Linked DNA regions of Pelodiscus sinensis. The protein of the gene in region 2 interacts with the protein of the main gene of each other region in a biochemical or structural test. Links are inferred from orthologs where the notes say so. Each region holds a gene or a part of one and is shown on either strand. Other genes may lie near its edges. The genes, in order: ANAPC4 and CDC27.

Region 1 (16,339 bases), on a different chromosome or scaffold from region 2:
TAGACTATGATAATCATGCTCTTTATAAACATGGAAGGACAGGCCGTAAACAGTCTCCTGTTCGCATATTCACCAACATTTCCCCCAGCATGATTGTACTTCCTGTGGAAGAGGGTTACAGGTGAGGTGTAAAAGGATATGCTTGCAGTGTGTGTGTGTGTGTGTGTGTGTGTGTGTGTGTGTATATATATATATATATATATATATATATATATATATATATGCGCTCAAGTGACTGCATCCACTATTTTTTTTAAGAAAAACCTAGTTGATTATTCCAGAGCTCAAAATATAGCAAACTAAATTTGCATCCATAATGTAACTTTATTTGTTGAATTGAAAATCCACTCATAAAGTTCTTTGAGCAAACAGCAGGCCAATGCTTTTGTAACTGCTTTTTCAGGTTTTGCTCTGTGTGTCAGCGATATGTTAGTTCAGGGAACCAACATTGTGATATCTGCAATTCATGTACATCAAAAGTAAGTTCCTCTTTCTGGAATGGTATTTTAGCAATTGTAAAGTGATGTTTGTGTTGTTACAAATCTCTTCTGCTATTAATATTAAAAGTGTATCTTTTGTGGCAGAGAGCTCAATATGGGAGTCTTTTGATTGATTTAAACCAGTGTTTCCCAAACTAAAAAAATGCCACGCTAAGGCCCAGTTGCTGAGAGGGGAGCAGAGCAGGGCTGGCTGGGAGGAGGTGTGTGTGTGGAGGGGGGGGGGGCCCAGAACCAGCTGCAGGGAAGCAGGGTTAGGGGTCACGGGGCTGTCCAGCAGAGATCTGGGTGGGCGGCCGAAGCAGGGTTAGGGGTAGCAGGGCTGTCCCATGGAGATCTGGGCAGGTGGGCGGCAAAAGCAGGGTTGGGGGTAGCGGGGCTGTCGGGCGGAGATCTGGGCGGGTGGGCAGGCAGTGGAAGCAGGGTTAGAGGTAGTGGGGCTGTCCGGCAGAGATCAAGGAGGGCGGCGCGGCAGAACCAGGGCTGAACTGGGTGCGGGGGGGGGGCGCTGGCCGGGGGAGATTGGGAGGAGGAGGATTGGAGAACCACCCTCTGGAAGCAGGGCTGGATGGGGGCAGCGGGCTGGGTGGGAGTGGGGCACTGGAAGGGGGAGATGGGGAGGACGGGAGAACCAGCTGCCGGAAGTAGGGCTAGATGGAGGCAGCGGGGCTGGTGGGGGGGTCGTCGGGGGAGCGGGGCTGACTGGGGCAGATCGGTGGGGGGTGGGGGTGAACTGGCCACCAGAAGCAGGGCTGGACAGGGGCAGTAGGGCTGGACTGGGGAGATTGTGGGGGTGGGGAGAGGAGAGGGGGAGCGGGTACATGCCACAGGAGTGAGTCTGGCCCCGTGGATTCCATTTCTCTCCCCCCCCCCCCCCCCTCCCCCCCCCCAAATACCCTCCCTCGAGTAGTTGTAGTTGTGAACTGCCTGGCTGGTAGACACTAACACAGCGTTAGCACATCTACCAGCCAGGCAGTTCGCAGCTACGGACTGATGCACCTAATTATAATAAAACTTACCTAATTATATAAAATGTCCAGTATTTTCTGTCCAGTATTTTCTCAATTTGTTTCCCAGACAGAAGCCTCAAATACCAGACTATGGGGGACAAAACTGGACACCTTGCAACCATATCCTTCCTTGTACCCTCCCTCCTAGCCAAATACCCTACCCCCCAATCTGCTCCTGCAGTGCCCATGCAGTGCCAGGTCCCCCAAGACCTGGCCCAGGCTGGGCAGAGGATGCAGCCAGGTGAAACACTGAAAATTTAGTGTTTCATCTTACATCTTTCAAAATTCCATCTTACAGTCCATTTATCCAATCCATATTCCCTTAACTTGCTGGTAAGAATATTGTGGGTGACTGTATCAAAAGCTTTGCTAACGCTGGCACTGGGAGCTTTAGGAGGACCAGAAACAACTTAGTTGAATATTCATCAGTTGCTTAATTAATATGCAGATGACTGTTACCAGTCCTCCAAAAGCTGGTGAATGGATTTACTGGTCCCTGTGTCAAAAAGTTTGGGAACCCCTGATTTAAACTATGGATCAGTCCCTGTAGAATTTTCTGTGTCCATTACCTCATTGATTTCGGCTGGACAAAGGATACCTGAAGTCTATACATCTGCCCATCAACAGCATGTTGTCATGTTCCATTTTTTTCTCTGCTTGGAAAGGTGGAAAAATATGCTGCCCTTTATGGCACCTCAGTTCTGCTAACAGCTGCCAAAAGAAATCATGGATCCTGAGCATCTGTGTATGCTACTTGTGCACATACATATTCCATATATTTGAAATATTTCAATGTTGTATGCCAGGAAGTTGAGGAGCACAGTACAGTTTAAAAATGATACTGCATATAGTGAAAATATTTTATTAGTAACATTTTAAAATATTTGTTTAAAATTACCAACTTTTTTATAGGATGGAAGACGATGGAATCATTGCTTTCTTTGCAAAAAATGCGTAAAGCCTTGTAAGTACAGAACAATATTTTTCAAGTAATAGAAGTTGACTTACTATATATTTCTGTCCAAAAAAGTCAAAATAAAAAATAGAAATAAAAGTAATAAACTATAAGACATTCATGATTCAGTGCAAAAGTACCCAGTTTCCACAAAATTCAGCTTGTGTGGATGGATTTCACCTGCATGAAAATGTCTTTGTTGCTGAATCAAGGCACAGTTAATTCCTTCAATTAGTTATAGAAAAACTTAAAATAGTTTGATTCTTGCTTCTTGTAGAATCATGATTAAATCTTTATAAGATTTCTCAGCTGAATTCTCTAAACATATTGATGCATCTTTTCAAAATCATAAGTTCCCATTACTTACTTTTCAGCTTGGATTCACTGCAACACTTGCAATCGCTGTGCTCTGCCAGGTCACACTTGTGACAGAGCTAAAACTAGTTGCTTTATTTGTGATGAAGCAGGTCACAAACGCAGCACCTGCCCTAATCTCTCTGTGGCTGAAAGAGCTTGCCAGTAAGTATAACACTGCATATGAATATTTATTTGAAAAACCTCTCAGTTGTGGGATATGATTATTATTTCATGAGAATGATTTGATAGAAGTAGAGAGAAAGTTGTTCAGTAAATTCAGATTGTGATAATCAATAAGTTGAAGTTTTTATTTGAGCTAAGGGTGCAATTTCCAGCTCAAGGAGACACATTTGTGCTAACTTTTATTGAATTAGTACACTAAAACTGTGTCCATTGGAGATGTTAGGCAAGTATTTGGGACAGTTAGCTGCATTCTGCACTAGCTTGATCAGAGTTAGCGTATGCCTCCAAGCTGGGCATCGCATCTCCAGTTCAAAGTGTGGACACGACCTTCGAAGAAACAGGAGCTCCTTGACTTGTGCAGGATCTGGGAGCTCAGCACCCTCCTCCACTCCGATAGAGGCTGTTGCCTCTGTATCAGAGGCAGCAGCACGGGGGACCTGATTTTTAAACTTTCTCCCTTCATGGACCAGCTCCTGCCTGGAGTGGCAAAGGGCTCCCCAGGAATGGGGCCAGAGCATACTGGCTGCTGGCGCCACCCCCAGGGACTACAGAATAGTCAAGTAACTGAAAAGAATTCATGAGGTTAATCGACTATTCAGTTAACCAATATTTAACATCCCTAATGTGGAACACACTAATAAAAACAATTTTAAATAGGTGTCTGGTAGTTTGTGGGAGTGTTTTGAAAAAGGTCTTTTTGAAAAAGATCTGCACACTGAGCATATTTCAGACACATGCCCCTCTCCAAGATAGTACATTAATATGCCCATCATTGTCCATCATTGAAGGGTCTCTCAGACCGGACGACTTTCTGAATCTGAAAACGTAAAGGTAACTATTGAAAGAGAAGGGGAAAGATTTGAGTTTGTCAACAGAATTAACTAACCCAAGGTAGAACGAACACTAAATATCAATAATAAAAGATACAGCTATGAGGATATTGTTTCAGCTCTCTGTCATGGGTGTTAAGGAGGAACTGAGCAGCAGTTGGATCTATGCTGCTTTTATGCTCTTGAGCTATGTCTAGACTACTAGCCTCTTTTGAAAGAGGCTTTCGAAAAAGCCTCTTTTGAAAGAGTGTCTAGATTGCAACCACTTCTTTAGAAAAAGCGAGTTGCTTTTTTGTAAGAGAGCACCCAGGCAGTCTGGATGCTTTCTTTCGAAAAAGACCTGTTAGCATTCAAGAACACCTTTTTTCAAAAGAGCACTTAAGAAAAAAGGCGTTCTTCCTCATAAGATGAGGTTTACCACGGTCGAAAAAATGCCACGTTCTTTTGATTTTTAATTTAGAAAGAACGTAGCACCAGTCTAGATGCAGGGGAAGTTTTTTTTTTTTTTTTTTTTTTAAAAAGGCCACTCTTTTCAAAAAAAATAAAAAATCCTGTAGTCTAGACACACTCTTGGGTGAGGGATTCTAACTGTCCGGTGGTCATCAGTATACAGAATGAGATTTTTGTGTACATGGGAGTTCATATTCCTCTAGATACGCATTTTCCACATGGATGCCACTTCAAGAACCACAATTACTATGAGGTTTTTTGAAGCTAAATTCATTCATTTTTGTCTGAAGCAGAAGAATCAGGATGACCAAAATAACGTACTCTAGTTGAGTAAGGCATGTGTATCTCTTGGCATATGAGAGTGTGTTTTAAGCATTCTTTTTCATAGATGAGATGGCAGAAATTGTGGTTCTGTGGCCTCTGTGATAGAGCCAAAAACTATACTCGCATTTGTGTCCATAACACATTGCAAGCTCATATTTGATTTGCTCTTACAGGTTGCACCTCTGTAAACCGGGACTCTGTGGTCTGGCAACCACAGATGTTCCAGGATCAGGGAGTCCTAATGTGCTTTGGTGGGGGAGAAGCCTGGCATGTGGCCCGGCTGGGCTCTGCCTGGGGGAGCTGGGAAGCCCCGTGGGGTGGCAAGGCATAGGGTCGACAGCAAGGGAGCCAGAAATGGCCTCCCCTGGTCCTGCAAAATCCTTCATCTGGGACTAGTCAGGTCCCGAGAGTGCTGGACCAAGGATGTCCAACCTGTATCGCTGCTAGGCATAGCCCACCATTTCTGTTTTCCAAAAATTTTAATTGTGGAGTAATACATAGCCAAAATGTAGAGAGAGCTTTATTCATATTTATCCCTACCATATTTCTCAAAGTAGTAAAATCTGCATGAAAATGACTGACCTTACTTTTACATGAAACTTTGTTTGCTTCCAGTTTTGGTGAGATCAAATATATATATCTTTCTGGACTATTGTAGTTCATGCAGACCGTAGTTTACTACTGTATTGTCAATATGTTTCTCCTGATATAAATTATTGGATTAACATGGGCTTAAACACCTGCAAATGTATGTTGTGGTTAGTACAAGACTCTATAGTTATTAATTGATAACCTATTACATAGATAGCATTACCATAACAGATGGAAAAAAATACTTGTTAATTATTTAGGTTTTAAATCCTGTGTTCCATACAGATTCTTATGTTTGTACAATTTCTTCAATAGTAAATTGGGCAGTGCAATTGTTGAACATGTAATGTCAACAATCACCATGTTTTATATTTGAGGTGATCAGATGTATACTTTTAAAAGTTTTAAAAGCATTTGAGTCTAAAATTACAATACTGAGTAAAGATACATCTATAGGTGTAAAATAAATTTAACCCCATGTCAATGTTGAAGTAAAAGTAGATTGTAATATCTCTGCAGAGATAATATTACAATCTTGCAAGTCGAATTTCAAAGGGTATGTCTACACTACCCTCCTAGTTCGAACTAGGAGGGTAATGTATGCATACTGCACTTGCTAATGAAGCCCGGGATTTGAATTTCCCGGGCTTCATTAGCATAAGCGGGGAGCCGCCATTTTTAAATCCCCGCTGCTTCGAACCCCGTGCAGCGCGGCTACACGGGGCTCGAACTAGGTAGTTTGGACTAGGGTGCCTATTCCGAACTACCGGTACACCTCGTTTCACGAGGAGTAACGGTAGTTCGGCATAGGACCCTAGTCCGAACTACCTAGTTCGAGCCCCGTGTAGCCGCGCTACATGGGGTTCGAAGCAGCGGGGATTTAAAAATGGCGGCTCCCCGCTTATGCTAATGAAGCCCGGGAAATTCAAATCCCAGGCTTCATTAGCAAGTGCGGTATGCCTACATTACCCCGCTAGTTCGAACTAGCGGGGTAGTGTAGACATACCCAAAGAAATTTACTTTAAGAGCTGTTGTTCTGACTATATTTGAGATTTTAGTCATAGACAAGTCCTTGTATTTGTGTTTACTACAATGTACAATTCACTATAGCTCTGATAACATGTAATATGTTTGTCTATTCCCTTGTTTTCCAGAGCTGACAGAAAGCGGAGGCTAAAGAAGAACAAGATAAAAATGGATAATGTTAAAAGACCATCTGTGAAGCATGCTACGTTCCCACGGAAAAAAATAAAGAAAAAGAAAAACACTCTTGCTTGTTAATACTCAAGTTACCTAAAACTGTGAATGATTTTACAGCCAATTTTTGCTTCCATTTGCTGTAAATGTTAATATGATATTTTAGATAAAGCCGGTTTGAATTAAAAATGTCTGCTTCTTGTAATATTACCTCAGAACTTTGGCAGTAGGAGAAAACTGCTATCCAAGCTGCTCTTTCCATTTGTGAATATGTTCAAGTGTGATATCTAAAACAGCTTATATACTAGTCTAAACCATGACTGCACTAAAAGACAAAATGGAATAATATTGTACAGGACTTGTAAATTATTGGGACAAGGTTTTTAATAGCTTTTAATTAACTTGATATTGACCTGCATTTTTCTCCTTGATATTGACCTGCATTTCCACCTGGCTCTTTTGCTTTCCAAACACCATCTACCATGCCCATGTAATGGATGGCAAGTCAGCCTTTTGTTCTTTATCTACTGGTATGTTGGTTGTTTCGTGGCAGTAATGGAAACCCGTGTATTATTTCTTCTAGATAACTAGATACATGTAGTTTTTAAACTTTTATCCACAGTTGAGACATTATACAATGCAGAGACAACAAAAATGCAGAGGCTGTTCCCCTCCAACTATCCAGTATTTTTAGCATATCAGTGGTAAACTGGACAGTTTATAGATTTAAGGTCAGAAGGGACCATTGCAATCATTTTGTTTGACCTCACTATTACTGGCCATCCAACTTCTCCAAAATAATTCCTAGACAAGTGCCCCTTGTTATGTGTCAAGTATGGGATTTTTTTAATAATTAAACTTAACTGTATAATTTCATTTACTAGTGAGGAGCAGTCTGCAGTTCAAAGAAACGCATATAAATTATTTTTGATGCTGCGGTAAACATGAATATAGAAAATTCAAAGGAAATGAGCAATGCAATGGAATTAAACTTTCTATAACTATATTGGTTCCATTCAAGTAATTGTTCTCTACCTAGTAGGGATATTAGATACACCAAATATTATCAGCTACACGGTTATTCAGTAGTCCCCGGCAGTGGCGCCAAGAGCCAGTGTGCTCCTAGACCCACTTCCGGGGAGACCCCTGTCACCCTTCAATGCTGCATCTGGTGGCAGGCAGGAGCCAGTCCACAAGGACAGCCAATTAAAAACCAGCTTCTGCTTGCCACCCTGTGCTGCTGCCTCTGATAGTGACAGCAGCAGCCCCTGTCCATGGGGGCCCCAAGTTCCCTGTGGACAGAGGCTGCGCCGGCATTCCACAGAGCAGCCTCTGTCTGCAGTGAGTTTAGGTCTGCCATGGACAGAGGCTGCTCCACAGCAGCATGCTCTGCCCACGGTGAGCCTGGGTCCACCACTCCTCTGCGCTGCTGCCTTTGGGGGCAGGTGGACCAGCTCCTCCCTGAGTGCCGCCTCCCCCCCTGCTCCCTCACAGAGGCAGGAGGAAAGGGGGACAGGCAGCACCACAGAGCTCACTTAAAAGCCAGCTTCCCATGTGCAGTGGTTCCCACCTTCTCCCCTACCCCACACACCCTATGCTGTGCCTCTCTATCAGAGGCAGCAGTGCAGGGAGGAGGCCAGCTGCTCCATGGGATCCAGTGCCCATAGGGAGATGGCTTAAAAACCAGCTCTTGTGTCCCCACACCTTTGCTGCCTCTGTCTCAGAGACAGTGGGGGGGAATGTGTGTAGTTGATAGAATTAACTGACAAACCTAGGCTTATTCGTTAATTGTGTAGACGATAGAGATGTAAGCAAGTAGTCAGCTACTCACTTTTCCCACCCCCCCGCAAGGTGGGAAAGGTTCGAGCTTTAATTCGAGCTACCTAGTCTGTGCCGCATGTACCCGTGGGCAGGTAGTTCAAACTATGGGGCATTTAAACATGGCGGCACCCAGGAATGTGCAAATGAAGCCTGGGATATTTAAATCCCGGGCTTCATTTGCAAGTTTGAATGCCTCCATTAGCCACCCTAGTTTGAACTAGGGTGGCAGTGTAGACATACCCTAAGCGAGCACCTGCGGTCACACTCTGATGCATTTGAGCAATATTTCCCAAATTCAAAAGATCTGAGGGTTGGGAAAGAATGGATCCATAGTCCATTTCTTCCTGCCAACAAGGTGTCATCCTTGCCATTGCTGCAAAAGGATCAATTAGTTGATTGAGCTGGCATGTGACAGAGGACTTAAAAGTTTAATTAATTCATCTTCATCTTCCATCCTTCTGGATTAAAACAAAGGATAAATACCCAGAACTCAGCACCCTAGCCCTCAAGGCTTTGCTGCCATTTCCATCTTCATACTTCTGTGAAACACATTTCTCTGGAATGACTGCTACCGAGACCAGACATTGGAATAGGCTTGACGTGAGAAACACACTGGCTGTGTCTAGATGGGCAAGTCTTTCTGCAAAATCATCTGCTTTTGCGGAAAAACGTGTCAGCTGTCTACACGGGCGGCTTGAATTTCCCTGTCAAGTATAAGGCCTCAATTTGGCTAGTGCTCCCAGACTCCTCACCACCCTTCCTCCCCTCCCCCACTGCTGCCCCAGGCTATTGCCTCCAGGCCCTCTACCTTCCACCTCCCTGCAGGCAGGGTAGCCTCAGTCTTCCAAGCTGGTCCGGCAACTATGCAGCTGCAGACTTTCTGGACCTGGAGCTCCAAAAGACCCATAAGCATGCATGGGCTTCACTGTCAGAGCTGACTCCCAGCTACCTTTCCCTTTCCCCCTTAAAGGTACAGAGGGATTTTCGAACAACTACCCAGGCACCTCAACTCACCCTCATTAGTAACCGCCCCTCGCCGCGCCCGGGAAGGCTGGGGCCGGTGTACCGGGACCCCGAGGGGCAGCGCTGTGGAGCTGCAGCATCTCCCTGCTGCACGCGTTGGGCCGCAGAGGGAATTCCGCGGGGCAGTCCCTTGTGTTTCCCGCCACACGTGAGCTGCGGGGCGCGGCGGCGGCGCAGTGACGAGGCGGGGGCCGCCCCGGAAGGCGGGAGAGCCGGGCGGAGCCGCTTCTCGCGGGGCTGTCGCTGTGCTGCGTGCGGCTGGACGGGCTGTGGGCTCCGGGCGCGGAGCGGGCAGCGGGATGGGGCGCGACGTGGGAAGGGCTTAAGGGGGACGGGGAGGTGAGGGAAGGAGCCCGGCCCGAGCCTGCCGGTGCAGGAGCCCCCCGCCATGCCCGCTTTCCGGCAGGTCGGGGAGAAGCAGCTTCCCCAGGAAATCATCTTCATGGCCTGGTCTCCCAAGAGGGACCTCATCGCCCTTGCCAACAAAGTGGGGGAGGTAAGACGGGGCCGGGGTAACGGGGCAGCTGCAGGGCCCGGCTCAGCGAGCTGGAAACGGCGTGTAAGAAAGGCACCTCCTCCGACAGCGCTGCTGCGCTCCGCCGCTGGGGGAGCGGGGTTCCCTGGCTGACCGCCCCTCTTCGCCCGCAGCCCTGCTGCCTGCTCCCTCCTCCAGTAGTGCCTCAGGGTTCGCCAGAGGCGGCTTCGCTCTCCCTGCCCCTGCAGCAGCGCTCTCCCTGCGGCTCCCGGGGAAAGAACTCCGGCCAGCTGGGCAGTGCTGTGGGGAGGCTAGCACTGGGGGAGGCTAGCACTGGGCTCTCTCCACCCTCCCTTGTCATTATTGACAGCCAAACGGGCCTCCTTATTCTACACGCCATCTTCAGCCACAGGAATAGTGCACCATAGCATGTGTGAGGGTTTTTTAAGCCTTCACATGAGAATGACTTAGTATCTTGGGTTTACCGTGTTGGCATTCCCAGTGCTGTACAGCTAAGTTAGCCGAGAATTCTGTTCTTTCATGCTGTCTGCATCTGTGCAGGAAAGACCTTGGTTTGTTGTAGCTGCTTAGTGTGTTGCAAAGGCAGAATTTAGTGGGATAGTGCTGTGAAGAATCTGGCACTGTGCTAGAACATGCTGTATTTTAAACAGTGAGCAGACCTGTGTCACCCTAAAGACTAGCAAATATATCATGAGCTTTTGTGGGTAGATCCCACTTCAGATGAGTTGGAGTGGAAATGACAGAATCCAGAGTATATAAACAGGAAAAGCAGTGTTAATAACGGTAATTGAGTCAGGCTGGATCTGTCCCATTCATAGTCAGTATTCTGTCTATTCCTCAAGATCCATAAATCTGGAAATCCTGGATGTTTCATCATCTCATGCAATAGCACCCTTAAACAGGATAATCTGGCTACATTGACTCTTTCCTCACGCTGCATGCTACCAGCACTCCTATCTATCTTTGAGACACCACTGACTTCCTGAAGAAACTACAGAACATCGGTAATCTTCCTGAAAACACTATCCTGGCCACTATGGGTGTAGAAACTCTTTATATTGGTATTCCATACGAGAACAGACTACAAACTGTCAGGAACACTCTGATGATGCCACAATACACCTGGTGGCTGAGCTATGTGACTTTGTCCTCACCCACAACTGTTTCTGATTTGGGAACAGTTTATACCTTCAAGTCAGTGGCACTGCTGTGGGTACTCGCATGGCCTACAATATGCCAGCATTTTCATGACTGCCTAGAACAATGTTTCCTCAGCTCCCATCCCTTGCCACCTGTCCTCTGTTTATATTACACTGATAACATTTTCATCATATGGACCTTTGGGAAGGAGACCTTTGACGAATTCCACAGGGATTTCAATAATTTCCACCCCACTATCAACTTCAGCCTGGACCAGCCTACACAAGAGATCCACTTTCTTTACACTACAATACAAATAAATGATGTTCACATAAACACCACCCTATACTGGAAACCTACTGACTGCTATTCTTACCTACATTCTTCTAGCTTCCATCCAGGACACATCACACAATCTGTTATCTGCAGCCAAGCCCTAAGGGTACATCTAGACTACATGCCTCTGGCGACAGAGGCATGTAGATTAGGGTACCGGACATAGTAAAATGAAGCGGCGATTTAAATAATCGCCGCTTCATTTTACTATGTCCGGTACCCTAATCTACATGCCTCTGTCGCCAGAGGCATGTAGTCTAGACGTACCCTTAGATACAATCAGATCTGCTCCAATCCCACAGACAAACACCTACAAGATATTTATGAAGCATTTTGAAAATTTAAATACCCACCTTGAGAAGTGAGGAAACGTTGATAGAGCCAGACTAGTACCCGGAAGCCACCTTCTTCAAGACAGGCCCAACAAAGAAAATAACACCACCACTGGACATCATCTATATCCCCTAGCTTAGCACGCCCCAGCATTTCATTGATAATCTTTAATCTGTACTGGAAAATGACCCCTCACAGATCTTGGGAGGTAGGCTGATCCTTACCTGGGGGTGATATAGGTGATAAGACAGTCCCCCTCCCAACCTTAAGTAAATACCAACCGCCATACTCCTCATCACAGATACACTCACCTAGGAACCTACACCTGCAACAAACCCCGTTGCCACCTTTGTGCACATAGGGATACAAGTGACACCATCGCAGGACCTAACCACGTAAGCCACAACATCAGGGGCTCATACAATTGCACATCGTCTAATATAATATATGACATCAAGTGCCATCAATGCCTCTTTGCCATGTATATTGGCCAAAGCAGACAGTCTCTGCCACAACAGATTAATGGACATAAATCCGGGAATGGTAGCACACATAATCCTGTAGGGGAACATATTAACCTCCCTGGACATAAAAGCTCATGATATATTGGTTAGTCTAAGGTGACACAGGACTGTTCATTGTTTTGAAAGTTACAGACTAACACAGATACTTTGCTGCTGTATCTGAGTATCGTTTTCAGTCTTTGATGACTTTGGGGAGCATCCTATTTTCCTAAAGTGCTTTAAAAATTGTTTGCTTTTAATTGTCAGTATTGATTTTCTTCCTGTGTTGTGTTCTCGCACAATTCTGATATTCTTCAGATGTGTTCTGGAAAAGGGAGATTGTTTAAATGTTTAGCCTGTCACCACAAGATTCTGTATTCATCTTGACATTTTTCATGTTCAGATCATTGGGAGGAAAGAGCAAAAAAGCAATAATTGCTGCTGGAGATGGAGTGGGGATATTGTCTCTGTTTTTACTATAAATGTAGTCCTTTGTCCACAATATAATGGTTTTTATATATTGGGCTAAAATACTTTTGTGATAGGAGACATTTTTCCTTACCTTGTCCTTTTTATTTTGCTTAGCAATCTAAGTAAATGGTAATTCCCAGGAGATAGCCTGCTTTTTGTGACTTAACAAGTGTGTAAAATTAATTTATATTTAAAATAATTTTAAAACCAATAAAAGCATTGAAAACTGGTTAGTGATGCAGAAGCTGGAACAACATAATGTAGATCTCAGTTTGTTTCTTGAAGTAATGTAATTCAGAGCTTCTCTTGCCAGTTTGCCATATGCCTTTCCTCATCTTATGGCAGTGCTATCTGCAGATGACTGGTGGGAGGGAGTGTGTGTTCCATCAGAGAAGGGTTTTTTTAATATCTCTGCTCATGCACACGCTCTCTTGCTTTCTCTCTTTTTGTCTGTTTCTGTTTTTCTTAATTCCCTTTCCTTCTCTACAACGTGTTCTTTTTTGTTAAAAAGCTCTTTACGTATCATTGGACCTCTGCGAGGAGGGGAGGAAGATCCACACACTAAGTCTAAGATTTCCCCACTTCCATTTGAAATTACTTAGGTGACCTACAAATGAAAAAAGATTGAAAATCACTGCTTTACACTTCAGTTTCCTCTTGAAGAGCCTTGACTGTGCATGGGAAGATCAACGGCAATGCTTCCACAATACAGATACTATTTGTGGTGGGAAAGCCTCCCTAAATACCATATTATAATTATTATTCCTATTAGTCAGACTGATTGTAGACTTCTCTCTCAGCCTAAAACCTCTTTTCATTGCTTGTAGTAGACAGTGTGCCCAAGAATAATGTATGCGTAAAATGATTGTTTTCTTTATATGAATAGCTTTAGAACTGACTTTCCAAATATGGGTTTTAAGCCTAATAAAAGCATCTTTAGTGGCTGATTTATAAAATATTGTTATAGGGGAAGATGTTAAATTTTCCTACATGTAATCTATCTGCTTTTCAGGTTTTACTTCACCGACTTGCAAACTTTCAACGAGTTTGGAGTTTGCCACCAAATGAAAATACAGGGAAAGAAGTTACAGCCCTCGCTTGGAGACCAGATGGCAAAAGTAATATTAAATACATGATGCTTTTTGCTGCAATAAAAATGGTGTTGGAAACCAATAGATACTTTTAGTAAACACAACATTACCTAACTTGAAAAGAAAATTCCCACTACACAATGTTAAGAAAAGGGTAGCGTAATTTTATTTAGCAAATAAAATAAGTGGGAAAGTTATTCCTCTGATGAATGATGTGATCTATAAAGGATGGCTACTTTTATAGTGACACTGAAGTGACAGGTGACATTTAAAATAAGATTGCAATTATGGGAATATTATTTTTCAGATTGCATGACAATATTCAACTCTTAATAGTGCAGAGATGTTTCATATCAATCATCCATGTGCATATGAGCAGAATCTCTTATTATATTACACATTGGGAATGAATTAGTTCAAAAAATGAATGTACGGTAGTCATATAAGTTCTGATCCAAATGTTTCAGTACTTGAATCAAATAGGGATGTGTTCTTGTGAGAATCTTAGAATTATATTATGTTGCAATAAAATATATTTGTTAAATAAACACTGTGTTTCAAATATATTTTGGCACCAAATTTTCTAAGACTTGTGTTCATGGTTAGCATATTTTTTCTCCCATGAGTAACAGTAAGCTAAGTATGGATCTAGGTTAAATATCATAGAATCATAGATCATAGAATACTAGGACTGGAAGGGACCTCGAGAGGTCATCGAGTCCAGTCCCCTGCCCTCATGGCAGGACCAAATACCCATTGCCCATTGCTTCTTGTTCTGTCCTCAGAGGCCAAGATGAACAAGTTTTCTCCCACCTCCTTATGACACCCTTTTAGATACTTGAAAATTGTTATCATGTCCCCCCTCAATCTTCTCTTTTCTAGACTAAACAAACCCAATTCTTTCAGCCTTCCTTCATAGGTCATGTTCTCTAGACCTTTAATCGTTCTTGTTGCTCTTCTGTGGACTCTCTCCAATTTCTCCACATCTTTCTTGAAATGCAGTGCCCAGAACTGGACACAATACTCCAACTGAGGCCTAACTAGCACAGAGTAGAGCAGAAGAACGACTTCTCGTGTCTTGCTTACAATATACCGGTTAATGCATCCCAGAATCATGTTTGCTTTCTTTGCAACAGCATCACACTGCTGACTCATATTCAGCTTGTGGTCCACTATAACCCCTAGTTATATACAGATCCCTTTCTGCTGTACTCCTTCCTAGAAAGTCGCTTTCCATTCTGTATGTGTGAAACTGATTGTTCCTTCCTAAGTGGAGCACTTTGCATTTGTCTTTATTAAACGTCATCCTGTTTACCTCAGACCATTTCTCCAATTTGTCCAGATCATTTTGAATTATGACCCTATCCTCCAGAGCAGTTGCAACCCTTCTCAGCTTGGTATCATCTGCAAACTTAATAAGTGTACTTTCTATGCCAATATCTAAATCATTGATGAAGATATTGAACAGAGCCGGTCCCAAAACAGACCCCTGCAGATCCCCACTTGTTATACCTTTACACCAGGATTGTGAACCATTAATAACTACTCTCTGAGTATGGTTATCCAGCCTGTTATGCACCCACCTTATAGTAGCTCCATCTAAGTTGTATTTGCCTAGTTTATTGATAAGAATATCATGTGAGACCGTATCAAACGCCTTACTAAGTCTAGGTATACCACATCCACTGCTTCTCCCTTATCCACAAGACTTGTTATCCTATCAAAGAAAGCTAGCAGATTGGTTTGACATGATTTGTTCTTTACAGATCCATGCTGGATGTTCCCTGTCACCATGCTACCTTCCAAGTGTTTACCGATGATTTCCTTAATTACTTGCTCCATTATCTTCCCTGGCACAGAAGTTAAATTAACTGGTCTGTAGTTTCATGGGTTGTTCTTATTTCCCTTTTTATAAATGGGCACTATATTTGCCCCTTTTCAGTCTTCTGGAATCTCTCCTGTCTCCCATGATTTTCCAAAGATGATAGCTAGAGGCTCAGATACCTCCTCTATCAGATCCTTGAGTATTCTAGAATGCATTTCATCAGGCATCTAACTTTTCTAGGTGATTTTTAACTTGTTCTTTTTTTATTTTATCTTTTAAACCTACCCCCTTCCCACTAGCATTCACTATGTTAGGCGTTCCTTCAGACTTCTCGGTGAAGACCGAAACAAAGAAGTCATTAAGCATCTCTGCTATTTCCAAGTTTCCTGTTACTGTTTCTCCCTCCTCACTGACCAGTGGGCCTACCCTGTCCTTGGTCTTCCTCTTGCTTCTAATGTATTTATAAAAAGTCTTCTTGTTTCCCTTTATTCCCTTTATTCCTTGTTTGCCTATATTCATTCTTTGTAATTTGTCCTACTTTCCATTTTTTATAGGACTCCTTTTTTATTTTAGATCATGCAAGATCTCGTGGTTAAGCCAAGGCGGTCTTTTGCCGTATTTTCTATCTTTCCGACACAGCGGAATAGCTTGCTTTTGGGCCCTTAATAATGTCCCTTTGAAAAACTGCCAACTCTCCTCAGCTGTTTTTCCCCTCAGTCTTGATTCCCATGGGACCTTACCTATCAGTTCTCTGAGCTTACCAAAATCCGCCTTCCTGAAATCCATTGTCTCTATTTTGCTGTTCTCCCTTCTACACTTCCTTAGAATTATGAACTCTGTGATTTCATGATCACTTTCACCCAAGCTGCCTTCCACTTTCAAATTCTCAACCAGTTCCTCCCTATT
Region 2 (16,545 bases):
GATTACTGGACAGCAGCCCAGCAGGTTTCTCAAGTAGCCAGTTAGCCAGCCTGCCTGCCTGCCCCAACCCTGCATAGGCTGCAGAGGCCATGTGTGTTGGCAAATAGGAGTCTGAGGGGATGGGGGAGTGCGGCTTCCCACACTGCCTGTTCTTCAAACAGGCAGCTCCCATTGGCCAGAAGTCAGCCAATGGGATTGTGATGGGGGCAGGAGCAGTGCATGAAGCACCACTCCCCCGGCTCACAGCTCAGAAAGAAAAGTGGCTGCTCCAGCCGTTTCTCTAAGTGGTATGGGGAGAGGCATGGAGCAAGCAGGAAGTCTGCCTGAGGCTCCCTGTTGCGTCTGCGGACCGGATCCGGTGGCTTGGTAGGCCAGATCCAGTCCCTGGCTTGTATTTCACCCAGGCCTGACTTAGATGATGTATTTACTGTGCCAGAGACTGCAAGTTCCTCTAGTTGTCCTCTCAAAAGGTAGGCCAAGACCACATTACAGCACTTTGTTGGCATAGCTACATCAATCAGGGTGACATTGGTGACACTGGATAGGTAGGGCCAAGGCTAATGTGACAAATCATTTTCAGTCTCAGGAGCGTCACTGCTGGTTCTTGCTCACAAGCTCAGGATCATCATGTGTGGGATCAGGATGTAATTTTCTCTCTAAGCTCACACTAGTCAAACCTGGGTTTTTTTGGCCTTCCTCTGCAGAGTACTGGTGCAGGTCACTAGTCAGGATTATCTAGACTGTTCTTACATAATCATTTCCCTGCCATTGCAGGGGCCTCACACACTTATGCACCTTCTTTGCCTGTGGCACATAAATTGAGTCTCCTTTGGGCTGTCATTCTTTGATCTAATTTCAGTTGTTGGGTTTAGTGTATGAGTAATGGGAGACGTTGGTGACCTGTGTTGTATGGATGGTCAGACTAGATCAGGGGTAAGGCAATAATTTTTGACGGGGTGGGCCACTCCAAGTTTTTGGTAAGTGGTCAAGAGTCACACGTTTCTATGGAAGGAGTTATAACCTAGGGAGGGTGCACTGGGTTTGGGTGGTAACCTGGGCCAGGGGTGCAGCAAGGTGTGGAGTGTCAGATGCAGGCTCTGGCTGAAAGGTGCTTACTTAGGTGGCTCCCAGACAGCAGCCCTCGATTAGTTGATGGGGGGAGGGACGATCGCTATCACGGCTGCAGCTCTGCAGTACTACATTTAAAGTGCAGAGCCGCAACGGGGTTGGCTCCCAGGGGCAGTGCAAGGTGGGACTGCTGCGGCGATGCCTCCCTTCCTCAGCCCCTGCAGCACAGACACGGAGCTGGGTGGAATTGGCATTTAAGCAAGTTCCCCCCAGCGCCAGCTACTGCTTCCCCCCACCTTGCTGCCTCTGATACAAAAGCAGCCAGGGGAGGAGAGAAGTGAATAGTCACTCAACTAGTTGTTTACATTCCTAGGACTCCCCCATCAAAAATTATTGCCCACCCCTGTTCTACAGACTAGGACAAGAGAGGAAAAGAACCACCATGCTGTAACAGCTTTTACAAAACCAATTTAACCTGCCTTTAGCCTCAATAAGAGTGGGCAATTAATTTTGCCGATATTTCACCTTTCAGAAACAAAGCAAGGAAATTATAACGGTCAGTGAACACATGAAGGCAGTTGTTACCAAGACAAATGCAACAATTCAGCATGCCCGAACTGCAGCAGTGCCTATGACAAAACCATTCTGGTGCTTCCTCCTGCAATATACCTGACAACTGTAGTTGTAAGTGCATTCTGGGAGATACAAAGACAACCAATCCTCAGGGTCCAGAACTGTTGCTGCAAGCTCCTGCTTTTGGATATTTACCCAACAAAAGCTACTCCATTGGATTTAGAACTGGCTGAACTACTACACTGTGATTTCTCATCTGCAGTGAGAAGCTTTTTTAGGTGGCACCTGTTTATCCAGAGCAGAGGTAGAGATCTCACCACCACCACTTAAATGCTTCAGACAGCCGACCTGTACGGACACAGGGCATTATACAGTAGCTGCAGATTCAGAGTGTTCCAACCAATAGTTTACTTTAACACTTTCCCACTGAGTAGACAAAGCCCAAGAGCTGGTTCCCATTCTTTTCTTACCAACAAATGAAATCTCTGTTGTGCAACAGGTAATGTCAAAAGCACTGCACTTTTCAACAAGAAGGGTCTGTCCACATTACTAATTCCATGACCAGTATAGACAAGAATTTTTTCCCTTTTAAGAAAGATCATTACAGACTGATTTTCAGGCTGGGGTTAGTCTAAAATGAAATGACAATTCTGGTTTCATAGCATGGTTTTGGAGAGCAAGGAAAAAGCCTGACTGGTCCGGGAACCTTAGCTAACAATAATTGTTCATGGCTGTGTCTATTGTGTTATCAGACACCATATGAATACGGCCTTGGAAACCATCCATCATTAGTAGGGCCCTAACAAATTCATAGCCCTGCAAAATGCATCATGGACCATGAAATTTGGTCTCTCCCCTCTGAAAGTTGTTTCTCGAATTGGAGGTCCTGACTCAAAAGAGAATTGCAGGAGGGGTTGTAAGGTTATTTTAGGGAGGATGCAGTACCACCACCCTTACTTTTACACTGTCTTCAGAGCTGGGAGGCTGGAAAGTTGTGACTGCTGACCAAGGACCCAGCTCTGATGGCAACAGTGCAGAAGTAAGGGTAACAGTACCACAGCCCACCCCTACAGTAGCCCTCCCCAACTCCTGTTTGGGTCAACACCCCTACAATTACAGCACTGTGAAGTTTCAGATTTAAATATTCAAAATAATGAAATTTCTGATTTTTAAAAGCCCATAACTGTGAAATTGACCAGACTGAATTTTAAGGCCTTAATCATTAGACCTGATCATGGCAGTCAATACCAGCTATTCAAATATGACGAAAACACAAGGTATTGAAACATCCAAGGAAATAGTTAAGAGCTGTATTAGTGAAACTAAAGATTTTCAGAGATGAAAATTAAAATGCATCTGTTCTAGGTAGGAATATTTGAGTGTAAACGACTAACTGTTCAACCAATAAGTGAATGCTTATTGGTTAACAGTGTTGGTTACAGTCAGTGAAGCCTCCTCCCCCGGGAGCCGGATGAGCAAGGGCAGTGGGTTCTGCTCCCAGGGAGGAGGCTTCACTGCCGCAGAGCCCGCAGTGTGGGCAACAGGGTAACCACTGAGATTTTCAGCGGTTACACAATTACCCTATTACTAGGGATGTTGAAATGTGTGTATTCAGGTAAATGTGCTGAAACTTTCAGCAGTTGCATGTTTACATGCTGAGTGGAAGGCGGCTCCTGGGAAGCTGACTGGAACCCCTGCAGCGCAGGGGGACGGGAAACTGTGTGCAACCGTGAAGGTTAACCCATAAGCCCAGGTTCACGTGTTAACAGTTTATACCAGTTTTTTCCTCAACCAGTGGTATGAGAGTCCCTTTAGGGATACTTGAAAGATGTCTGGGGGGTACGTCAACACAACTGAAATTTACAGCTTTATAATTTTTGAACTTTTTACACCCAAAAATTTCATTGCCCGCCCGGCTACGATTAAATTGTTTAAACAAATGTGTTGCAATGGTAGGAAAAAAAATGCGTGTCTGAAAACTGTAGGTACTGGGAGTACTTTTTTTTTTGGAAAAGGGGTACTTATTAAAAAAGGTTGAGAAACACTGGTTTACACTACCACATCCCTACCTCTTACACTATTTTTAACATCCCTAGTTATAGGCTAACACATGAAATATATATCTTAATAATCAGCAGCTCTCAAACAGTGGGTCAGGAGCCCAAAAGTGGGTTGCAAACCCATTTTAATAGGGTCACCAGGACAAGCATTAGACTTGCTGGATCTGGGGGTGCTGAGGCTCAGGCTATGGCCCATCATCAAACCCAAGCCTGAGCCCTGCTGCCTTTCTCCTTCCTCATTCTGTCCCCCTCTCCAGCCCCACCTCCCGGGTTATTTTAATAACTTTGTTGTCAGAAGGGGGTTGCAATGCAGTGAAGCTTGAGAAACCTGGATTAATTCATCTTTCAAGTTTGGACTTCATTAGGAGATATCAAAGGATACATTGTCTAATTAGGACAAGATTCTGCCACTTTTTACTCACTGCAAGCAGAGGTGTCAAGATCTAGTCCTTAAAATGGAAGCTTTTCAAGGCAAGCATTTGTCATCTTAGACGCTTTTAAAATGCTATTTATATAAATGAAACCACTACAATGCTCCTCAGGATTGTAAAAGTAAGTTTTCCAAATGCTTTTGCAAGGTGGTGAAGGGATAGATGATGAGGTGAGTGAAAGATCTCTTGAATGACCATCAGTATGTGCTATACAAAGGTACATGGGAAAAAATGCGTTTTTACACATACGCACATCACTTATAATGTTGATGAGTCAGAAGTGATGCCTGCTCTTACAGAACATGTGCAAGGAGAATGCTCAGATAACAGGGGAACGAAAAAGTACCAGGAGTCCAGCCAAGCACTGAACACATAACCCAACAACTTCATTTAAATCCATACAGCAAGACAGCCTGAATGTCATAGGCTTATTACATTAGTGTCAGAATGCATCATAATCCTGTGGTTTTACTGCATTTGTTACAACTGCCAGAATCACTGCACCACTGCTGTTTACTTTTAAGTGACTGCAGATGACCAAGGTAGATTTCTATGAGGTCATCAAAGGAGAAGAGAGAAACTAGGCCTAAACAAAGGCTTCATTGAAAATGGCACATTTAGGATCTGCAATTCTCACCACTGCAACCCAGCTAATGAAAGCAATGGCGGAGGCTGTAACTTACACAGAACTCATGTTTTTGCCACCTTGTCATATAAGCTTGTCACTTAAGCTGTGCCTACAATACAACCACTATTACTGCTGCCCCACTGGGGTTGAGATAGAAGCATATCATGAGTCCTACAAAAGTAGACCTAATGATTGTGCATTGAAGTCACACTAACATTAGCTTCTTTGGAGAGCAAAATAAGAGAGAGCTGGTATTTCATGAAGAACACCGAAGCCAGCTAGGGTCTTGGTCTACACTTGGGCTCCCTGTACTGGGAGCTCGTTTACACTGGCGCTTTACAGCGCTGCAATTTGCTGTGCTGGGAGGGAGAGAGTGGTATTTTCACACCCCTGAGAGAGAAAGCAACAGCACAGTAATTTGCTAGTGTAGACAAGCCGTAGGTTTGTGTGATAATGAAAGCAGAGTGTTATCAACAGAACTTCCAAGCTAGAGAAGATAACATTACAAGTGTCCATTTTACACATCAAACAACATACCTCAAATAAAATACTCCATATCTTTGCCAAGGAAATTTCAGAATATCAAATATTTCCCACCTGGTTAGCCATAATCAGGACAGCAGAAAAGATGCTGATTGCATGTATTTGTAAAAATGTTAGTGAATGAAAGCAAACAATATCTATGTAAGCGGGCATTTACTTTCTTTCCATACTGAAGCCTACACTAGCCACTTTTTGCTAGAATTTCCAACTGCTGCTACCACCTGCCCAGCTCGAGATGCTAACTTGAGAGAGTATTACTGGAGAAAGGGCATCAGATGGCCAGAAGTGTTTTCAGCAATGCGTTGTCTAATGTGGTTCAGAGCAGACCTATAGAATTTGGCATAAAGATGATGAACTCATCTACAATAATAGTGCCACCACTGCTTCCACCTTGTTGTGTAGGCTAAATCAGTGGGGTAGATGATGTATCCCACAAAAAGCTACATCCTTCTATCTTTTTAGAGAGAAGAGGAAACAAGAGAAATTAGATACTTTTGTTGTGCTCACTATTGTCATTATGAAAAACTGTCCAGCATGCTAAGCATCTTGGCCGTGTAGAAGCTGGGAGAGTTTACAAGTTACCAAGAAAAAATTTATTTTGCATGCAAGACCTTTGAAGCCCTATGTCCCAATTTATTTCTAAAGACAGAAACCTGAAAAAGATTGGAAGTCTGGTGGAGGGGAAAGGAGAGGAGATAGCATGGGAAAATTGAAGTGGGAGGGAACATAGATAGGATAGCTAAGGCAAAGTTGATATAGGAAAGAGAGAACGGATAACTTCTGAGATGGTATCACTTCTGAAAAGAGACTAAAATAAAAAGGGAAAATATCCTGGAAAAAAAATTAGACTTTAAAAAAGGGGGAGAAAAAAAGAACCTAAAGTTATTTCCTCCTTTGGGTCTTTCAGGCGAGACTTGGTCTCTTTTAGACCAAGTCTACACCAGACCTGGAAGGCCAGGTTAAGGTACGCAACTCCAGCTATGTAAAATATGTCACTGGAGTCTGCTTACCTTAAGCTGAGCTCTGCTCTTGTTGGCCTCCCTCTGTGAAGACCGGTGCCAACGCTCTCATCGGCTTCCCTTCTCCACAACAGCCAGGAGTACAAGTGCCACATGGAGCCACCCTCGGCATTCGATTTACGGCGTCTTACCTACACCCACTAAATCTAACACCAGAAGATCAATATCCAGCAGCAAGTGAAGACCTGGCCTTAGACTGCATGCTCCTTGGGACAATGAATGCCCTTCACTTGTGTGTAATCCACAGTGACAAGCACATTGTGGGTATTTAAATACAAAAACAGCAGCCATGGAGGGTGAATGAAACCAGAAAGGAGAAATCGAGGGGTTCCATAAGGAGTTGGGCTGGAACAGTGGAGATGGGAAGAATCCCTCTTGGACGTGCACTAGCCACTATTATGCTGGCTAGTATCAACTCATTGTTTCCTCATGCCCCCCTCCCTGCCCCCTCGTCCCACCTGCTCTCGTGCCCCCCTCCCTGCCCCCTCGTCCCACCTGCCCTCGTGCCCCCTCCCTGCCCCCTCGTCCCACCTGCCCTCGTACCCCCCTCCCTACCGCCTCGTCCCACCTGTCCTCGTGCCCCCCTCCCTGCCCCCTCGTCCCACCTGTCCTCGTGCCCCCCTCCCTGCCCCCTCGTCCCACCTGTCCTCGTGCCCCCTCCCTGCCCCCTCGTCCCACCTGCCCTCGTGCCCCCTCCCTGCCCCCTCGTCCCACCTGCCCCCGTGCCCCCTCCCTGCCCCCTCGTCCCACCTGTCCTCGTGCCCCCCTCCCTGCCCCCTCTTCCCACCTGTCCTCGTGCCCCCTCCCTGCCCCCTCGTCCCACCTATCCTCGTGCCCCCTCGTCCCCCCTGCCCTCGTGCCCCCTCCCTGCCCCCTCGTCCCACCTGCCCTCGTGCCCCCCTCCCTGCCCCCTCGTCCCACCTGCCCTCGTGCCCCCTCCCTGCCCCCTCGTCCCACCTGTCCTCGTGCCCCCCTCCCTGCCCCCTCGTCCCACCTGTCCTCGTGCCCCCTCCCTGCCCCCTCGTCCCCCCTGCCCTCGTGCCCCCTCCCTGCCCCCTCGTCCCCCCTGCCCTCGTGCCCCCTCCCTGCCCCCTCGTCCCCCCTGCCCCCTCCCTGCCCCCTCGTCCCACCTGCCCTCGTGCCCCCTCCCTGCCCCCTCGTCCCACCTGCCCCCTCCCTGCCCCCTCGTCCCACCTGCCCTCGTGCCCCCTCCCTGCCCCCTCGTCCCACCTGCCCTCGTGCCCCCCTCCCTGCCCCCTCGTCCCACCTGCCCTCGTGCCCCCTCCCTGCCCCCTCGTCCCACCTGCCCTCGTGCCCCCCTCCCTGCCCCCTCGTCCCCCCTGCCCCCTCCCTGCCCCCTCGTCCCACCTGCCCTCGTGCCCCCTCCCTGCCCCCTCGTCCCCCCTGCCCTCGTGCCCCCCTCGTGCCCCCCTCCCTGCCCCCTCGTCCCACCTGCCCTCGTGCCCCCCTCCCTGCCCCCTCGTGCCCCCCTCCCTGTCTCCATCGGCTGTCTTACGAGCTAGGCACATGAGGCTCTGCCGCTGGGGCGGGGATCGTGTCCAGCCCCTCGCCCAAGCGAGAGGTCCCGATCGGCCCCCAGGGCTGTGGCAGGACGGAGCGCAGGGATACCAGGGCCGAGGTGGGGGGAGGGAGACCAGCCAGTGGCGGGCCCCTCTGGGAGATTCGAGGGGAGCCTGGCCGGGGGGGGGGGGGGTCTGGAGGAGGCGGGCCGGCAGGGGGAGGGGCTGCCGGGTCAGTGCGGTGCGGGCCGTGCGGGGCCTGGTCCCCGCTCCAGGGGCGGGGCCTCGGGGCCCCACGTCTGAGGCGGGCGCTGAGGGGCCCCTGCGGCCGGGCGGGCGGGGGGGGCCCCGCCAGGCCGGGCTGGCTCGGGAGAGGCCGGGCCCGCTAGGCCGGGGCCTCGGGGCGGCTGCGGCTCGGTACCTGCACGGGCTCCTGCAGCACCGTCATCCTGTCCCCTCAGCGCCCGCGGCGGGGCGAGTCCTGGCGGCGGCGCGGCGCGGCCCGGCCCCTGCTCATTTAAACTCGCAGCGACCGTTACCGGGGCAGGCACCCGGGAGGGAAGGAAGGAGGCCGGCCAGGCGCCGACTGCCTCCGAGCGGGGACGGGAACACCCGAGGGGAGCCGGAAATAGCCGAGCGGGGGCGGAAACAGCCGAGGGGAGCCGGAAATAGCCGAGCGGGGGCGGAAACAGCCGAGGGCGGAGCGCGCCACAGGCGCGGGGAGGGAGAGCGCCGAACGGAGACGGAAACACCCGAGCAGCGCCCGAGAGGCCCGAGCTGACGGAGAGAGCCGAGCGCTCCCCGCGCCAGGAGCTGGGCTGGGCGGCGCAGGCAGGCGGAGCGCGGGGGGCGTGGTCTGCCCAGCCCTGCCTGTCTGCGTCTCCCAGGCTCCGCCCCGTCAAATCCCGCATCGCCCCCTTCCCCATCCCCTCCTCTTCCCTCCTCCTCCCGCTCCCTCCCCTTCTTCTTCCCCTTCCCTTCATCTTCCTCCTGCAACTTCCCCTCCCCTTCCCTCCTCCTCTCTCTTCCCCCTTCCCCTTCCTCCTCTTCTTCTTCCCCTTCCCCTTCCCTTTATCTTCCTCTTCCCCTCCTCCTCTCTTCATCTTCCTCCTTCCCCTTCCTCCTACCTTCTTCTTCCCCTTCATCTTCCTCCTCCCCCTCCTCCTCTCTTCATCTTCCTCCTGCAACTTCCCCTCCCCTTCCCTCCTCCTCTCTCTTACCCCTTCCTCTTCCCCTTCCTCCTCTTCATCTTCCTCCTTCCCCTCCTCCTATCTTCTTCTTCCCCTTCCCCTTCCCCACTCTCCCCTTATCTTCCTCCTCTCCCTCCTCCTCTCTTCATCTTCCTCCTGCAACTTCCCCTCCCCTTCCCTCCTCCTCTCTCTTCCCCTTCCCCTTCCTCCTGTTCATCTTCCTCCTTCCTCCTTCCACCTTCTTCTTCCCCTTCCCCCTCTTCCCCTTCCCTTTATCTTCCTCCTCCCCCTTCCTCCTCTCTTCATCTTCCTCCTGCACCTTCCTCTCTCTCTTCCCCTAACCCTTCCCTCCTCCTCTCTCTTCCCCTTCCCCCTCCCCCCTCATCTTTCTCCTTCCCTTCCTCCCCTTCCCTCTTCATCTTCCTCCTCCTCTTCCCTCCTCCCTCCTTCCCTTCTCTCTTCCTTCCTCCTCTCTCTTCCTCTTCCCCCTTCCCCTTCCTCCTCTTCATCTTCCTCCTTCCCCTCCTCCTACCTTCTTCTTCCCCTGCCCCTCTCTCCCCCTTCCCTTTATCTTCCTCCTCCCCCTTCCTCCTCTCTTCCTCACCCTCTTCATCTTCCTCCTGCACCTTCCCCTCTCTCTTCCTCTCCCCTTCCGCCTTCCTCCCCTTCCGTCTTCATCTGCCTCCTCCTCTTCCCATCCCTCTCTCTTCCTCTGTCTTCCCCTTCCCTCCTCTTCAGCTTCCTTCTCCCCCTCATCTTCCTCCTTCCCTTCCTCCTTCTTCCCCTTCCCTCTTCATCTTCCTCCTCATCTTCCTCCTTCCCCTCCCCTCTCTCTTCCCTTTCCTTCTTCTCCCCTTTTCTTCCCCTTCCCATTTTTCTCCTCCCCCTTCATCTTCCTCCTCTTCCCCCTTCCTCCTCCCGCTCCCTTCCCTTCTGTCTTCCTCTTCCCTCCTCCTCACCTTCCTCCTCTCTTCCTCGCCCTCCCCTTCATCTTCCTCCTCCCCTTACCTTCTCTCTTCCTCGCCTTCCCTTTCACTCTTCTCTTCCCCTTCCCTCCTCCTCTCTTCCTCCTCTTCTTCTTCCCTTTCACTCTCCCAGTCCCCTCCTCCTCTTCTTCCTCTTTCCTCCTCCTTCTTCTCTATTTCATTCTTCTTCCCCTCCTTCTCTATTCCTTCTTTTTTCCCTACTCACCTTACCTTGCCCTTTTCTTTCTCTCCTTTCCCCTCTTTTCCTTTCCTCCCCTCCTCTTCCTCTCCAATCCCTGCTCTCCTTCTCCCTTGTCTCTCTCTTTCCCCTTGTATGCAGCCCCACTCCAGTCCACCCTTTTTCTAAGGACTATTGGCAGCCGAGTGACCCTTTTCCGTGCAGCAGCAGTGTCCTCTGGTGGCCACTGAAAGCTCCTCCATAACTGACTCCTAAAGTCTGAAAATGTCTCATGTCCCTGGCGCTGCCCTCCAACTGGCAGGCCCCAGGGCTGCAACCCTCACTCCCCCAGCAGCACAGGGACAGCCCAGCAGAGAGAGGAGTTTTTGCAATTAGTGCAAACTTGTCTTCGCAGGGAAATCGCAATGGGCGCCATTTCAGATTTTGGTGGGGGAGTGGCGACCTGTGCATGCCGTGATGGAGGGTAATGAGAGCATGGGGAGGAAAACTGAGGACAGCGGCTTTCAGCAGTGTTACTGAGCATGCTCGGTACAAACCAAGTACCAAATGGGGGAGGAACCAATTCCTTCCACCCTCCCCACCATATCATCTCTGTCCCAGGGCTACTAAGGCACTGGAAAACTCTGCTTTTTTGGCTGACAACTTAGCAGTTAGCAGGAGCACTGAATCTAATTTCAATATACAAGAAAATTAAATAAATATTAGACCCACTCAGCTCTAACATATTCTGACATCTTATGGCACGTCACTTAAGGGACACTATTTAGCCTTAAAATGTTAATGTCTATTCTTACTTAGTTACTAAATCCGGGGATAGAGAAACCCTGTCAGAACTTGTGGGCTGTCTCTCAGCTCTGGAAGGGAAGTGGAATCTAGTGGGTTACAAAAGGGGGAGATAAATTTCAGCTCGATATAAGAGGATCAGAATGGTCATACTGGGTAGGACCAAAGGTCTTTCTAGCCCAGTGTCCTGTCTACCAACATTGGCCAATGTCAGGTATGTCAAGAGGAATAAATAGAAGAGGCAATCATGAGCCATTCCCTGTCGCCCATTCCTAGCTTCTGGCAAACAGAAACTAGGGATATCATCCCTGCTCAGTCTGGCTAGTAGCCATTGATGGACCTATCCGCCTTGAACTTATTTCGTTCTTATTGGAACCCTGTTATAGTTTTACATCGGCTGCCCATAGATTTAATTGGGTCATCTTCTTGTGTTATGTTAGTGCAGAAATGAATAACAGATCCTTATTCTATTTTTCTATAGCTTTCATAGTTTTCAAGACCTCCAACATATCCCCCTACGCTTTAATCATTTCTTTTCCAAGATGAAAAATCGCAGTCTTGTTAATCTCTGTTCCTTACCCCTAATCATTTCTGTTGCCCTTTCTGTACCTTTTCCAAATCCAATATATCTTTTTTTTAGAGGGGGTGACCAGATCTGCATTCAAGATGTGGGCATACAATGATTTTATACACAGGCAATATGATATTTTGTCTTCTTATCTATTCCTTTTCCTAACGATTCCCAATATTTGGTTAGCTTTTTAGTTTTCAAACTGCCACTGCACACTGAGCAGATGTTTTCAAGGATGCCAAGATCTCTTTCTTGAGTGGTAACAGCTATTTTAGACCCCATCATTTTTATATGTATGGTTAGAATTATATTTTCTTATGTGCATTAATTTGCACTTATCAACACTGAATTCCATCTGCCTTTGTGTTGCCCAATCACCCAGTTTTGTGAGATCCCTTTGTAACTCTTCGCAGTCAGTTGTGAAGTAGTCATTGTTTACCCCTTTTTCTCATTTATGAGAAGTTTAACAGCAGTAATCTAAATGCAGATCCCAGCAGTCCACACTTCCTTCCCCCCAGCTTTTAAGTGGAGTACCTGGCAATGTTTTCATGGTGATCTAATGATCCTTCAATTACCCAAATAACCAGCCGTTTAACAAAACTCTGGTTATCTGAAGAAGTGGGCCATGCCCATGAAAGCTCATGATACCATCTACATGTTTTGTTTGTCTATAATGTGCTACCAGACTATTTGTTGTTTTTTAAGTTTATCCTGTACAGACTAGGCTACCCCCTGAAGCTATCCTAGTAGAGCTGTTCTGGAATTATTCCCAGTGTGGACCAGATTAGAGTCACCTTAATCTGGACTAATTTCCCTATGTAGACAAACCCTTAGGAAGAGGTGGGGAGGACTGTCAATGCTGAAGTGCTAAAAAATTGTTTCTTGCATGTCAGGAATGACTCTTTAGGTAGCATTTCAGCGGCAGATTCTTTTTCTGTTGCCCACAAAGAGCACTGCATTAAAAGAGTATTATTAAGGCTGCAGATGCAAGTGCTCAGCAATGAGAAAACACCAGGGCACTGTTCACAGGTTCAGCTTGGATTTTCTCTCTCCAATAACTGGTCGGCTACATCTACACTGGCATGATATTCTGAAAATGCTTTTAACGGAAAAGCTTTTAACGGAAAAGCACTTTTTGCGGAAAAGCGTCCGTGGCCAATCTAGGCACGATTTTCCGTAAAAAAGCCCCAATCGCCATTTTCGCGATCGGGGCTTTTTTGTGGAAAACAGTACTGTGCTGTTTACACTGGCCCTCTTGTGCAAATGATTTGCGCAAGAGGGCTTTTGCCCGAATGGGAGCAGCACAGTATTTCCGCAAGAACACTGACGATCTTACATGAGACGTCAGTGTAGACAGCTGACAAGTTTTTCCGCAAAAACAGATGATTTTGCGGAAAAACTTGCCAGTCTAGACACAGCTGTCTTGTTTAGCTTTACCTGTTCCCTTAGCCTATTGCCTAAATATTAATAGTGAATACAACAGAACACATTTCGTTTTCTGGGGGCAAACACTGTCAATCTGACGAAATCAAATGCTGATATTGATTTTACATTTGCAATAATGCCAAACTCAAAACTCAAGAGACAGTCTTAAAAACAATGAGATTTTAAGGTTATTTTTGTCTTTTAGTGATGAATAGGAATGTAAAAGAACAGTTAAATATGTAACTGTGTAACTGCTAAACATCCTAGCACCTACACATGCTGTGGGGTCTGAAGTATAAAGTTTATACTGCTGAGCCTGCAGCACAACTGGCTTCACAGGAGAGGGGCCAGCAGCCATGAACCGATGTTGCTATTAGTATTAGCCAGTTTCCAGTATGCACTAGCTCTGGCTGCCGGTCCAATTTACAGGGTATTGGCGATCTCCCCACACAGCGAGCTCTGATTCAGAGCAGGGTTGGAAGCTGGCATGTTACCGTAAAGATAAGCTGACACTTAAGCTACATTTACACTGTGAGTTTTTGTGGCAGAAAATATGCTAATGAAGAACTCATTAGCATAAGTTGCAATATCATTAGCATATTTTCTGCTGTTTCTTTTTGTGCAAGGGGTTTTTGTGCAAAAAGAAGCAGTGCAGCCGCTTCTGTTTTGCGCAAAACCTCCTTATGCCTCTCCTGAAGAGGCATAAGGAGCTTGCAGAACAAGGGGTTTTTGCACAAATAGGAAACGTCCACACTGCTTGTTTTTGCACAAAACCGGCCTGAATAGATTATGCAAATGAAGCATGACAAAATGCTAATCAGCACTTCATTTGAATACTCTCTGCTGGTAAAAGCCACAGTGTAGACATAGCCTAAGAGTACGTCTACACAGCAGTGTTATTACAGAATAACATCCATTATTCCAAAATAGTGTTTTGCGCGTCTACACAGCAAGCCTGTTATTTCAAAATAAATTCAAAATAACAGGCTTCTTACACCAACTTCTGTAAACCTCATCGTGTGAGAAGTCAGAGGAAGAGTGCTCTATTTTGAAATAAGTGCTGTGTAGACATGTCCAAATTCGAAATAAGCTATCTCGACTTCAGCTACGCGATTTGCATAGCTCAAGATGCATTGCTTTTTTCGAGTTTAGCCCTGCTGTGTAGATGTACCCTTAGATCCCTAGTGCTGAAGCATTTAGCGGTCTCATTTTCAAGCTTTTCTTTGCAATCCTGAAGGCTAGAAACTTCCCAAAGAAAGCTCAGCTTCTCGGACAGCACTCTGATTCTGGAAACTGGGACATGAAGAGTAATACCAAATACCAGGGAACTCATAATAAACATCACAAAAGTTGTCTCGGTGGGGAATCATCCTGCAAAATTCTGGGAGCTTCAACCCCCACTGAAATTCCTTTGGGGGAGGGGGTGGCAGGAATGGAGGGGAAAGGGGAATTACTCTGCAGTGCATTGGTAGGGGGCAATGGAATGGCAGTGCGGGAGAGAAAGTGTGAAATGCTGATGCTGGGAGGAGAGGTGGGGAAGAGAATTAAATGTAGAAGCCTGGTTTTGTCCCCTTTTCTCCCTCTCCCCCTTCATCTGTCTGAATTTCTCTTTCTTGCGTGTCTCTCACTGCAGCTGGAAGCAGTTTATGCAAACTCATTTACATCTATGTGACTCTGCAGATTTGCAATCATTTCACTAAGGGCTTGCGCTGAGCATCCTGACTGGTAAACAGGAGGGGATGGTCTCTTTGGTCCTTAGGCTCTCTGCTGCAACTGCCATGAAGATACTCATATTATGGTGGCATTTTTACTGGCAGGTGGAAAGAGACTCCTCAACTCCTTTCCTCTGGGCCCCCAAACAACTGGGCATTGCTTCCAACTGTGTGGTACACAGATACACAGACCCAAGAAGCCTTTTTCCTCTGCTGCTACATCTGAGAGAAGGGCGGGATGTGGGTCTAAAGGCGCGAGATGTAGGTTAATTTCTCCAGCTTCATCTCACAGTCTTATGCCCAAACCAAGCGCGAGTGACTCCTCAGAATGACAGCTGGCTCCATCTGCCTCTTCCACTCCACAGGGAATGGGGTTGAGTCTCCCAGCATCCAAACCATCTTTGGTATGAAATGCTTTCTTATCTTCGTCAGAAAGAGATACTGCCACAGGCTCTCCTTAGAGTGGAAACCTATTTTTACCTCTCCTCAGAGCCCCCAGGACATGAGCAAAGCAGCCGAGCTATAAAAGGGCACAGCATCAACTATTGTCCTGGGACTCGCTTCGGATCGAGTGATGATTTATATAGCCTCCTCCGCTCCAGCTGCAAAGTGCAATTCTGCATGAGGAGCGCTGGCTGATGTTGACGGATGCTTTCTATAAATGCTCCTGGCCTTACGACCACCCACCCTCTGGGAGCCTCCACATCATTAGTTGTGGGGACAGGTGGTGGAATGGGCGGCCGGGACCTGGGACTGGGGGCAGCTGTACAAACATTTGGCAACTGACATTTTCACTTTAGTTTCACATTGCAGTGCTCTTTTGTCCTTCAGGACTTTCCCAAAGACTAACCAGGTGAAGTTTACAGCAGATGCCCCTTGATCCCCTAAATCAACAGTAGTAAGGTATCACGGGATAAGTGGGAAGTCTCTCATGGATTGATAACTAGTTAAAAGACATGAAAAAAGGGTAGAAATAAATGATCCGATTTCAGAATGGAGAGGGGTAACTAGTGGTATCCCACAAGGGTCTATACTGGGACCAATTCCATTCAACTTATTTATAAATTATCTGGTGAAAGGGATAAAGAGTGAGATGGCAAATTTTGCAGATGATACAAAAAGGCTGAAAACTGTTAAGTCCAAATCAGCCTGTGAAGAGCTTCGAAAGGATCTCACAAAATGAGGTAACTAGTCCACAAAATGGCTGATGAATTTTAATGTTGATAAATGCAAAGTAATGGATTTTGGAAAACACAATTCCAACTACATGTGTAAAATAAAGGGGACTAAATTAGCTGTTACTACTGAAGAGAGAAATCTTGGAGTCATTGTGGATAGCGCTCTGAAAAAAAACACTCAATGTGCAGCAGCAGTCAAAAAAGCACACAGAATGTTAGGAATCATTAGAAAGGGATAGAGAGTAATATCTCAGGCTACGTCTACATGCGGTGCTATTATAGCTATCCCGTATCTTAACAGCGTGCCCGTTATTTCGAAATATAATGGGCTCGCTATTCCAATGTCCCTGTAAACCTCCTTCCACGAGGAGTAAGGGACATTTCGGAATAGTGGATTATTTTGAAATCTGATGCTGTGTAGACAGCACCAAATTACAAAATAAGCTATTTTGAAATTAACTTGAAATAAGCGATGCAATTTGCATAGCTCAAATTGCGTAGCTTATTTTGAACTAGAGGTACAGTGTAGACACACCCTTATTGCCTCTATATCAGTGTTTCTCAAAGTGGTCTGTGAAACCACTTTGAGAAAGCTGCTAACTGGCCGTTCTGGTGTGTTTATTTACCGGAGCCGCAGCCACGGAGCTTCACGGATTCCATTGGTTCTGGGTTGCTGTTTG

Evidence for each region.
Region 1: the proteins of CDC27 (region 2) and ANAPC4 form a complex in vitro, tested with the Homo sapiens proteins (2 studies listed by BioGRID). The link is inferred for Pelodiscus sinensis from reciprocal best matches to the Homo sapiens genes CDC27 and ANAPC4.

The regions. Positions count from the first base shown.
Region 1 is NC_134715.1:101,831,404-101,847,742, reverse strand, and holds the start of ANAPC4 (anaphase-promoting complex subunit 4), read left to right. Parts: upstream 1-9,483; 5' UTR 9,484-9,626; coding exon 9,627-9,734; intron 9,735-13,529; coding exon 13,530-13,635; intron 13,636-16,339. Other genes in the region: rRNA N(6)-adenosine-methyltransferase ZCCHC4, read left to right, coding at 1-121, 404-479, 2,420-2,471, 2,837-2,981, 6,352-6,478. UniProt on the Homo sapiens protein: Component of the anaphase promoting complex/cyclosome (APC/C), a cell cycle-regulated E3 ubiquitin ligase that controls progression through mitosis and the G1 phase of the cell cycle.
Region 2 is NC_134739.1:6,830,919-6,847,463, reverse strand, and holds the start of CDC27 (cell division cycle protein 27 homolog), read right to left. Parts: upstream 8,449-16,545; 5' UTR 8,291-8,448; coding exon 8,264-8,290; intron 1-8,263. UniProt on the Homo sapiens protein: Component of the anaphase promoting complex/cyclosome (APC/C), a cell cycle-regulated E3 ubiquitin ligase that controls progression through mitosis and the G1 phase of the cell cycle.